Linked DNA regions of Drosophila melanogaster. The protein of the gene in region 2 interacts with the protein of the main gene of each other region in a pairwise test. Each region holds a gene or a part of one and is shown on either strand. Other genes may lie near its edges. The genes, in order: CG14718 and Ald1.

The links.
Region 1: the proteins of Ald1 (region 2) and CG14718 interact in a two-hybrid assay, tested with the Drosophila melanogaster proteins (one large-scale study listed by BioGRID).

What each region holds. Positions count from the first base shown.
Region 1 is NT_033777.3:11,698,985-11,703,447, reverse strand, and holds CG14718 (uncharacterized protein), read right to left. Parts: upstream 2,835-4,463; 5' UTR 2,703-2,834; coding exon 1,362-2,702; 3' UTR 728-1,361; downstream 1-727.
Region 2 is NT_033777.3:26,255,447-26,263,243, forward strand, and holds Ald1 (aldolase 1), read right to left. Parts: upstream 6,146-7,797; 5' UTR 5,890-6,145; exon of another isoform or gene 5,708-5,889; intron 5,668-5,707; exon of another isoform or gene 5,456-5,667; intron 4,390-5,455; exon of another isoform or gene 4,356-4,389; intron 3,768-4,355; exon of another isoform or gene 3,541-3,767; intron 2,834-3,540; exon of another isoform or gene 2,596-2,833; 5' UTR 2,575-2,595; coding exon 1,779-2,574; intron 1,687-1,778; coding exon 1,487-1,686; intron 1,178-1,486; coding exon of another isoform or gene 1,082-1,177; exon of another isoform or gene 1,028-1,081; intron 862-1,027; coding exon 766-861; 3' UTR 520-765; downstream 1-519. UniProt on the Drosophila melanogaster protein: Enzyme of the glycolytic pathway. Glycolysis is essential in glial cells but not in neurons; neurons rely on the citric acid cycle for their energy needs, and on lactate and alanine secreted into the hemolymph by glial cells to fuel it.

The DNA.
Region 1 (4,463 bases), about 15 Mb from region 2:
AGGATAACTGGGCGAGAAACGCGCACGGAGCGACGACGACCAACGACCAACAAGTGACGACCAACGGAGTCGTTGCAGCTAATGGTGTTTATTGCATTTACTCCATGGCTGCCACTTAAATCGGCGACACTGTGGGCGGGTTTGGTGGTTTACCAGGCTGGGCTGGGCTGGTTGGGCAGCAGCAGACGGAGCAACACCTGCAGCTACGCAAATACCCCGCAGGCGGCAGACCAAGCACAACCGACTATGGACTATGGACTAGGGACGATGGACTCCGGACTCCGGACTCCACACTCCACAGCTCCCACCAGGTGCCTTGTCCGCTCGCGTGGAAGAAAGTGCAAAGTAAATGCACAACACAAAGTCTGCCAGGCGCCGCCTCTGGTGAACTGGTGAATGGAGCAGGGGGGCGTGGCATGCGGCAGACGAGGGCAGCCGCAACTGCGGGTGCAGCCAAAAGAGCAACTCACCAGCCGCACCATCTACCAACCAGCCAAGCTGTTGTGGCACAGATTCGGCTGACGCAAAGTTTGATTAAATCACATGACAGAAAAGGACGAGGTAGATAGAAAGGAGGAGTAGGAGGATGGGGCTGGCGAGCGACTTGTGGGACATGGATTCAAGTGGCTTGATGCCACTGCACACAGAAAACAATCTGAGTCAAGGATTTGCTGTGGGGGATTCAGAAATTTTGAAATTTCATTGTGATAGTTTAAAGCCACGAGTTCACCCTTTCTATAAATAAATGAATAGAAGATTAATTTTATTAAACAATTTAGACTTCATTGAATATAATATTTCGATTTACAGTGCAGTTCCGCAGAGCCAATGAGCCACTGAGCCACTGACTGCACGCGTCGGGAAAGTAAATAAATTCATTAAACGTTTAGAGCTGGCCAGGTGGGTCCGGTTGCCTTTTGTGCCTGGGTAAAATATTCAGTTACCCGGATTAAGTGGATTACCATTCAGCAAGTTGCATTGTCCCGCAATCTGAGGATCTCTGCTCTGGGGACAAAGACTGGTTCGGCGGGTATATGGTGGCGGCATTGCATTCAAACGCCTTTTTCTAAGACGGGCATTAACAGGAATTTAGGTGTCTTTTGTTCTTGGCTCTTGCTGTTCTTGGATGGGGCTCACAAGCTCATGGGCATCGCATCGAATCGATTCAATTCAATTGAAGTTGCATCTGGATATCACGACGCAGTTCGCGTTCCAATCACTTGAAATTTTTAGAAGTCCGGAAGGAGCAGGATGCAGAAGGCAGAAGTGTCCTTCGTACAAAAAGATGCGGATACACAAAACAGATAACACGTATAGATACAGACACAGACACAGACAGAACGAGGTGGACTGGACTGTTTCTACTCTGCAATGGGCGGATTCAGAACCAGCTCCCAGGTATCTTCCTCCGTCGACTCGGAGCTCTTCATTTCATCGGAACGCAGGGCGTGGCAACGATTGCACTTCGCTCGGTACCAGAAATTCATATTATAGCAAATCTTGCACAGCCAGTCGTTCCTGTATGGCCGCCAACGACGAGGGGCACCGTCCTCTTCGCGTGATCCCGCCCAGGAACTTCCCTCGTTATTCTGAGGAGCGACCACCTTGTCCGCCTGGCATCTGTTGCAGCTGGAACGCCAGACGAAGTTGCTGTTCCGGCAGAGCATGCACACCCAATTGTCGATGGCTGGCTTCCATTTCATTGCCCGCTGGCGACGTTGGTGCTCCGGCGCATTAAGCTCTCGCGGATAACTGTACCGGACACTGCCCCTCCGGGTGGATAGGTAGGCGGGCAGAACGGTGATCACCTGTCCCATGAACTTGGCCCCACTCAGACAACTAATCGCCGCCTGTGCAGAGAATGGACTCACATAGGTTATAGTGGCCTCACCCTTGGAGCGCCCCGTTATCTTGTTCTTGTAGACGAAGATCTTCGGCTTGTTGGTCGACTCGTCCATCTTGATAACGCCCACTTTGCCGAAGAACAGGATGATGTCGTTCTTGGTCACATTGAGGCGCATGCCCAGCACGAAGACAGTTTCCGCCTGGATCACGTACTGCTCCTGACCGATGCTTATATAGGGCCTATGCCGCGGGAGCGCCAGGCGGGGCATGTAGTCGGCGGCGGTGCGCGGGAACACCATGTAGGATGTGTTGCCACCCATGCAGGGTAACAGCGGCGGCCTCTGCTCGCCATTAACCTCCTCTGCAAGCTCCTCCATTTCCCCCATTTCCCCTATATCTCCATTCAGCTCTTCCCGCTCCAGCGTCTCACATTGGTTCATCTGAAGATCCCGTTCCGCCTCCTGCTCTGTGTCAATGCTCACGGACTCGCCTGAACTCGCCATCGGGCATGAGGACGACGTGCTGGCCACCAACTGCTGGTCCGCCTCTGCACCACAGAAGTGGTCATCCTCTTGGACCAGAAGCAAGGAACCGCTGGCATCGCCGCTTCCATCCTCGTAGCGGTAGAGATCACTGTACATGCCTCTGGGACTCAAACCGGAAGCGGCACTCGCCTGGGGAATGGGGGCTGGTGCAAAATTAAATCCCAATCCAGAACCCAATGTGGTTCCGACGATGTAGTTGGCATGGAACATCTGTTGCTGAGTCTGCAGCTGTGGCTGTGGCTGCTGGGTGTCCGAGTAATTTGGAGCGTAAAAAGAATTCGTATACACTACGCTGGCTGACGTGCTATCCATGGTTGGTAAAAAATATACGTAAAACTCCTCGTTGTGTGGCCTTTACTGCTGATCAAACACGAACCGATTCCTTTAAAAACTACTGAAATCTTTGATAACATCCAGACACTAGGAGTATAAAAATGAACTGAGTTCCGGATCTAAGTTTCTTTGATAGATTGTGTTGTAGCCTACTTGGCAGCCATATTTTTCCAATTCAATCAAATGGCAAGCCAATTTAATTTCATTACTTTTGACTCGAAAAAATGTTGGTGATGTGTTTATCCACATCAAAACAATATAATCCGAAGTATTAATAATATCATTGCTGCACACAAAAACCAACATATCAACCGTTTGTTGCCAATGAATATATTTAAAATAAAATCGACAGCGGCAGGATTAATTTAATTCAATAATGTGGAATTTACTGAGTGAAAATGTATTAATAGCCAAAGTAAAAATGCAATATGGACATCGAAATGGCTGGCACTTTTACGTCCACACCTTTCAAGGGATTTGACCTGGTTTTTCCATCCGTAGTCCATAGTTAAAAGCGCGAAGAACTATGCAAATTTCCGTGATTGGCGGCTAAAACTCTGGATGCCACTTTCGCAGCTCACTGATGACTTTGCACTTCGCTTGTCGTCGTCTTCGGAAAATTGATTCATAATTTCTGCACATTTTCACTTTAATCAGCAAACTTTGATTACATTTTCGCAGCGTGAGATGGCGCAGAAAAGTACCTGATATCAATTTAAAAGCTTCGAGTAGAACTCCCATAGGAATCTGAAACTTAAGTTCATATTTTTCGAAGACAAGACTCATCCATGGCCGGGCCAATCACGATGAATCAAGATGACTGGTACTCATCAAGCCAATTAGCTGCCAATTACCCCACTAATGAGCGACCACATTAACCCCACAAAGGATCCCGAATTGGAGGGCAGTCAAGAATAATGTCCTGCCAACGGAGCGTGGACTCTGAAGACATGTTTATTAATATCCCGAACCCGAACTCAAGGCCGGCCACCCTGATAAACGAAAGTGCCACGTTTGTCGCCAGCTCGGTTCGGGGGAAAAAAAAAGGAAACAACATTTTCACCAGCAATTGGCTTTTATGGCCGCCGCCTCTTTACGACCAAGTCCGCTGACCTTATCATCAGATTCCGGGTTCTCGGATCCGGTGTCCTGTACGGAAGCTCCTGTTTCATTAGCAGCCCCCGCTGCTGTGGTGTCCATTTCCAAGAAAGGAGGAGGGTCAGCATCTTCAACAGCAGCAGCTTTACTTCAGAGCGGCAAAGTTTTGCTTTAACCCGTCAAATATTTCCCCCGTTGAAATGAAGTAATGAAGCTGGGAACCGCCGACACGAAATTAAAAATCAACTGTCTTGAAGGGAAAACAACAGCGAAATGGAAACTGTTGCCGGGGAAAAGTTCCTATTCCGTTGGTGGAAAACTTTTTGTGCGCTCATAAAAATCGAGACAGGGCAAATTGTCTTCCAGTATAATTGCACAAAAGTTTGACTTTGAAGCTCGTCCGTAATTGAAAAGACAAAAGCGCAGCAAAGCAATTGGCCCGGAATATAAGCTGGTATATGTATGACTACGCTGCGTTCGGTTATTCTATGGTGTGGCCAAAAGGGATGACTCTTCATCAGCATCTCTCGGTGCACACGCACTGTGTGCAGCATTCATGTTGTCTTTCCTTCCATTTGCAGCAAAGGCGAAGTAGGAACAGCTAATGAATTGGCTGCCTGCTGGAGCAGAGTAAACACGCAG
Region 2 (7,797 bases):
GAAAGCGGGGAAAATTGATTAATTTCGTTGTGAGAAATGCCTACTCCTAATTATTACTTAGTTGTAACTTGGCGAGCCGCAGCAAAAAAGTTTTTCGGCCAGCATGAAAAAGTTTTCACACTGATTTTTGCTGCGCTCGAAGAACTTCCGCCACTTTTTCCACCTGCGGCAATTTTCTAAAAACTTTCCACGCATCCAAGCGCACGAATACATGCTGCGTACTGCGGAAAGTTTTGGAAAATTTAATCTTGCAAGTTCTTTGGAGGAAAATTATGATTCGATTAAATATATGTAACAGCTCTCCGAACGAATTTTACGTTGTTTTCAACTTAACTGTCAGGTACAGATATTCCGAATTATTATTCTAATTAACAGTAGGAAGTTTGCAAAGGGCTTTCATGAATAAAGTTAGACAAGACATTTTTAATTAAAATGTATTTAAATTAAATTAAAAGGTAAAATAAAATCGAATTTTTGTTTAAAGCTAACTAAAGTAAACAAAATCATAAGCAAGGTATTATTAGAAATATATAATTTATTTCTGTTCGCCAAAAATATTTTCTTTAAGGTCTAGTCAGTTTATTCGGTAAAATGTAAAAATGTATAAAAGGAATATATTTGCAGTTCCATTGTTGGAGGAATATAAATGTTGCCCGTCTCACTCCAGCTGGGCCTCGATCAGTAACTCTTGCGGATTATCTGGATTCGGCTTGGGATATAGCTTCGCTCGATTGTGACTCGGGATTAGTGCGTGGCATTTAGGACTTAGTATTTGTGCTGGGCGACAAAGAGGTTGGCATTGCCGGCAAACGACGGAATTGAGCCGGGCACGTAAATACCCTGACAGGCCTGGGAATTGGCCTGTGGAAGCGGGAGGAGAGCGGGATTTTGGTTGGGATTAATCAGATTTTGGGCTTTTGTGGATTAGGTTTAGAGCAAGCGAAGCATGAGTGGCACGAGGACAGTATGTTAAAGGCGTTTGCGATAAGTCGGATTTGGTGAAAGGCGGCTATGATTCTTAAGTTACCCCATGAAAGCTTGTTCATCGCCATCTTAAGGCAGCAATTCTTCAATCCTTTGATCAATACCTGTGGTCATCCACATGCAAAGTATCTTTTCCAGCGAACCCCTTAACCGATCCAGCTGTATAGTTACCACAAGCCGCCTCTCCGTTAGCCTAGGCATGATTAATGTGTGGTTATTGATGATGAAATTAATGTCTCACGTACAAAAGCAAAAAAAGGTTACAAATAATGGTAGGGAAATGAAAGGGATAAGATTAGAGGATTAGAAGAACATTGTGGTCATTTGGGATTGGAAATGGAATCAATGGCTGGGAATATGCTGTATGTTATATTATACATGTATAATATTTCTTAGCCCAAGGAATACTTCCGAAGCATATACCTGACACTCTTAATACATTCACCACTTAAATTGCTAACTGCAATCAATCGTGCATAGATACAACTATCCAAGGACTCACCTTGGCGCGCTTAAGCAGCTCGTTCTGGCCGGCAGCAATGTTCTCCTTCTTGCCAGCCCAGGCACGCAGGACGGAGGCCTGCAGGGCACGACCGTACGAGAAGGTGAGGGCCCATGGGCGGATCAAGGGAACGTTGTTGATGGCACTCAGGTTGACGGTGGCCTCCTCCTCGGACTGACCTCCAGACAGGAAGGTCACGCCTGTAGACAAACAATCGATTAGATAGGATTCATTGCAAAAACAAGGTGAATGCATTCCAATCCAGAGATTACAGTTGGATTTGATGACTCACCAGTAACGGCGGCGGGAACGGTGCGGCGCAGAGCCTGCACGGTGGCCAGGGCGATCTCCTCGGGGGTGTTCTTCTTGGCCGACTGACCGGCGGTGACCATGTTGGGCTTCAGCAGAGTACCCTCCAGGTAGACGTGGTGGTCGCTCAGGGCCTTGTAGACGGCGGCCAGGACGGTCTCGGTGACCTTCTGGGCGCGGTCCAGATCGTGATCGCCATCGGGCAGAACCTCGGGCTCCACAATTGGGACGATGCGCTGCGACTGGCAGATGGAGGCGTAGCGGGCCAGGACATTGGCGTTCTCCAGGATCGACTGGTAGGATGGGGTGTTCTTGCCGATCTTCAGGACGCAACGCCACTTGGCGAAGTCGCAACCGTCCTTCTTGTACTGGGCGCAACGGGCGGCCAGGTCATCCAGACCCTGGGTGGTGACCTCATCCTCAGAGCCGAACAGTGGGACAACACCCTTGTCGACCTTGATGCCCAGAATGATTCCCTTCTTCTTCAGGATCTCGGCGAAGGGGGTGCCATCATCGGCCTTCTGGTAGAGGGTCTCGTGGAACAGGATCACTCCAGAGATGTTCTCGGCCAGCTTGGGGTCAGTGCTGAACAACAGCTGACGGTAGGCACGGCGGTTGTCCTCGGTGTTCTCCACGCCGATGTCCTGCAGACGCTTGCCCATGGTTGGGCCGGACTCATCGGCGGCGAGGATTCCCTTGCCGGGGGCAACGATTTTCTGGGCGATTTCGCGCAGCTCATCCTGCAGCTCCTTGCTGGGGTAGTTGAAGTAGGTCGTCATTTTTGAGATTCGAGTGTAGTTCTGCAGCACGAAGATCCATTTACGTTTGATTTGGTGTGGTGTTATTTTGTTGGATGAAAAAGAGTAGCGGACATTGTGTTTTAATAAGCTAGCTATCGAATTCCGCAGCGGCGCGGATGATTGGAAACCATTGCGTAAGCACAGAATTTTGAAATATTTCGAGGTAAAAAATAAAACTAAAAATTTGGACTAAAATTTCGTATACGATCCGCACAGTCTGACAACCAAAATCAAGTAACTCAAAGTTACATATGTTCCTACTGAAAAAGATAACAACGGCTACAGAGATAGCTATCAATCAAGTGTTGGATTATTTTACTGAACTGACCTAATTATTATTTCCATAAAATAAAAAGAATATTTGTAAAGGTCAAGTTATTTAAAGTGGAACTCTGAGTTAACCGATTAGAGCCATTGAGTCATATGCTGTTGTTTAATGATGCGGTATTATATAATTTTGTTTTCAGTGTCAGGTCAATGTCACTGGTGTTTTTTCCAATTTAAAAATATTTTTCCATTGAAGATAATAAATGCTTTGCATGGTAGTGTATTTCACAGCTGATTCGATGGCAAAGAGCGGGTGATTGAATGAGATTAAAGGCGCATGCACGGAAAACGTGCTTTTCTCTATATCTGCAGCTCTTCGCTCTCTCTCTCTCACATTTTTTTTTTTCTAGGTTTGTCCTACACTCTCAACATTCACATATAAAATGTTGCCTTTTAATAGAGCTTTTTTAGAGGTTCTCACAAACATCAATGAAAATTCACATTTTAGAAAAATCCTCTTGGATTGTACTATACAAAGTTGGAAAAGTATCACTGCACTTTTTGGAATGAAATATTATATAGTGTCTTATTTTATAGTGTCTGTAATTTGCTAAAAACTATTTGCAAAAACCGAACAATTGTTTTAAGCTTAGATCACAAAGAAAAATCCGAACCAACCTCGACGATGATGTTTTTGTAACTGAGCAAAGTCACGGAAACCTCGGCAATAATTCCCTCTGATGTAATCAAAGTCATGGAATCTTGTGTCTCACTCTAACCGAATGCAGCTGTCTTCTTCACACCCGCATAATGCGTGACGTGGTAACTTTCACTTTTATTGCCGCTGCTGCTGCGCTGTTCCTGCAGGCAGCGACGCCAACGCAGGGCGCATGAATTTTCGCTTGACATTGAACAAGGTCAAGCAACAAGCCTTAGCAACAAATGTTGCCAGCGAAATTTGTTGCTTACGAAATGCGAATAGAAATTGTTGAAAACCGAAAGTCGTGTGGCGCGTGTGAAGTGCGATAGAGATAGCTAGTGTCCAGCAATATGTAGATACAGATACGAAGTCATCTGCGATGACTAAAAACCCATTTTATACTTGTTTGACATTGACAGTGAGCCAAGGACTGGGAATGGCATAAATGTCAGGTTAAGAGATTAGACCTCCGCAACTTATCGCGAAATATTGTTTACCACATCGACCCCACATTTCCCACGCCATATATTTAACACTTTGTACACGCGTGAATAGCTTGTGGTTCCTAAGAACAGATAGATATTATAAAAGCTTGATATATGCATATATTAAAAATACTGCACAGTTTAAGAATATATTAATATATCTCTAGAATACAAATCATTTTTTCATCTATTAATTTCTAAACAGTTATCTAAACACACTTCACAGAACGACACTAGATATGTATGTACACCCTTATCTATAGAATTATCTATAGATGTTGCGGATTCACTCAGCAGACAACACCCACCTACACTTGCCGGCAATCAATCGAAGACTGAAATGTTTCGAAAACTAGGCGAAATATATACGATGACAAAAAAGAAAGAGGAACGAAGAGCAGCCAACGCATGACAACAAAAAACAATCAAAATAAATTTACGTTCCTATCAAGAGACCGTTTATAAAAATAAACCGCCACATGTCCGTCTATATGTATTCGTGAGCTTGCTATCAGTGAAAATTTTGAATCGAAAACGACGAAAAAACGAGCCCCCAGTTGCGTTTTAGTTCCAAAGGTTTTGCATTATCATAACGAGATTTTAGGTCCGGCCTCCTTGAACGCAGACAGTGGGTCAAAAGAACATCCAACAGTTGAGATAATACTACTACTACTACTACGAACTGACGTCAACTGATTAGCCGTAAACATGGGTGGTAATAATTGTATACTTGTCTGAAAATAGGAAACTTCGAGCACTCCCATACTTCTATCTATGCCCTTATTATGTGACCCCAAAAACTTTGTTGTGGTAACTGTTTACTAGATAAGCCAATGTACCTTATCTAGTCTTATTTCATCGATTAGCTTATACTTTACAATGAGAATGTATACCTATAATTCCATTATATTCATTATAAAATTTCCCAAAGCTTGATATAAACGATCAAAGGAACATAAATTGGTTGTTTTAAATGTTCAAAACTCTTCTTAAAAATCCTAATCAGGTTGATCTTGAAAGGAAGTCCTTTGGAGTACCAAAACTTGTTTTCTGTAGGTTTCAAAACAACCCTTAAACTTCTGCCCCTCTTTTCTCATGTACTCTCTACAAACTATCGGTAAAATGTTTGCTCTCCTTCATTCACTGAAATCTCAATTAAATGGTAGGTATAAAATGCAATAGACAAAAGCATATTGCGTCTATCATGAGAAGACGTCAACAATCTGATGAATTTACGATGACGTTGGCTAATTGAAGTCTAAGCGAGAGAGCGATGGGAAAGTATACATATGTATATCGCGATGTATAGTACATACATTTAACATTTGCGCCAACTATTTATAAAGAAAAACCGCAGCGGCGACTACAAATTGCAGTTGAAAGCCTGCCAACAAGCAAATGAACTCGAATGAAAGAGCGGATGAAAAGTAAGAGAGCCGGTTGAGCCGGTAGAGAAAACTACTACTCACGAAAGTGAGCCAAAAGTCACCCGATAAGGCTTCTTATCGCCTGCAGTTCGCGTAGCCCCCCCACTCCTTCAACCGCGGTGCATAGGTCAACAACACTCGAGAGCCTCGAGGTTCTAGAACTTGTCATAAAAGTGGCGAGCACGCGGAAATGGTAAGATTAGAGAATAATTAAACTATATTCGAATACGCACTCACTAACACTAACACGCCTACAGATTCGCTGCTGCTCTGTAGATTTGGATTACGAAACACCCAGAGAAATGGGAACGATTACGCGACTTTTCAACTGCACTGCCGCCAATGGGGGGAAAAATATCTGAATTTTTTTTAAGGGGCTCAGGGGTTCTGTTCACTGCGTATGACGCCCACTCACCGAACTGGAAACTGAATCTGGGATGTGGTGATTAGCTGCTGGCTACTGGCTGGGTCCGCTGCTGCTGCTGCACTGGAGGAGAGCGGTTAACGCTTTTATTTTCGGCCCGTGTCGCTGCTACTGCCGCTGCCGATGCCTCTGCTACCGCTGACTGCGGCGTCAACGTGAAATTCCAAAGCGAAATAAGCGAGACATGCCGAGCGAGACCCCAAAAGGTTGTTTGGAGGTCGTCGCCGACGGTGTTGGGCAACCGACTGAGCCAAGCGCTTTAAATTCCCAGATCCCCAAACGAAAGGTATCCAAAATAAAGCTCATTCTGGGAGCTTTTAGTGGGGGATGGAACCTAACAGATAAGCTGTAAAACTTATTAGACAGCTTTGAGAAGCTTTAGCTTTCGTTTGGGCGGTAAAAATTTAAATGAAATGTGCTCAAAGCGTATTAACATAATAAATAATTTATCTTAAGATCTCAAACACTATACGATATATATTGAAATAGTATTGAAATGTTAAAAACAATAAAGTGCCACAAACTTAATGTCGCGTCTTGCTGGATATAGTCATCCCAAATCATCCTCATCAAGTGAACTATATGTCTTGCCAAGCTTTCTTGCCCAAAACTATAAAAAAGCATTAAAAATGAAGTGTTATCTTTGCAAGTATTTGTATCTTTTAACCTGTCAACAACATTTCCTATTCTACTTATGCATTGAAAAGAGGGTAGAATAATTAATTTGGTGTATTTTAACCTTAATTACGAGCGACCTGCTTTACTTGGGGCGGTCAATGAATTTTTCGTGACCATCAGCATCAGGCGCTCCAGCGGCAGCGCAACAAAAACGAGGGGTGCCAGAAGCAGCAGCTAGGATAAGCGACTTTCACGCCATGCCTGACCTCCTGCAATGTTAAAGGACTCAACCCCCTGGCACTGGAAACAGCTGATTGAGAGCGCAAACTTTGAGAAAATATCCCCCTATTCTGCCATACAATCTGTTCGAGCGAAAGAGAAAATCGTTTCGCTCTTTAAAATGTCCTAATATGACTTTGGCACAGTTTTCTGAATGAAAAGAATGACTGTGGAACGGGTTATAACATTTAAAGGATTTTAGATATTTCATAGACTATCTATGCTTAGGTTTCTTTAGTTAAAGTGATACAGTTGCTAGATATATATGAAATAATATGCTTACCTAATGAAGGAACCTTAGCCACAGTGCTCTTCATTGTCCTCGCTCTCTTTGTGCCTCGTGGCTTCGTCCTTCGTCCTGTTTCGGTTCTCGTGCCTGCCTCACTCGCTTCCCATTTTCGTTTGGGGATTCTGGTTCAGTTTTCAGTTCGAATTCGTGCGTCGGTCGGTCGAGTTGTGTGCCAAACGCTCGGCACCTGTCGCCCAACACGTGTTGCGTTCCACTTGCGCTGCGCGTCTCCTTCGCACACCCGCGTACACCGCGGCGTATACGCTACGTACTGTGGTGCAGCCAAAGCGAAATAATTTCTGATTATTCTAGTTATGTGAACCGAAAGTGGAGTGCATAAGAGTCTGAAATTCAAGCACCAGCTGTGTTTTAACTCATATTAAATTAAAGAGGAGATACGAAAAAGAGGAGTGAATTTGTGGTTCAGAAGAATGATAAATTGTTTTCCCAGTTTTGGTAAGAAACGATTTGGTTCGATTTGGTATACTCATTAAAAGTTGATGTAGATCAGATTATAAAGTATCTTTCAAAAAACTACAGAAAAATGTTCATTTCTAAAACTAATATTGATGGAACCCTTTTTTTTGCTTTACAATAAATGGCAAGATTAAAGATTAGGGCAAAATAGCTAGAAAAGTTTTTGATCAACTATAGTTAGGTTATACTATATTTCTATTTATCTAGTCTTTTTGTTAAAGGACATTTGAAATAGT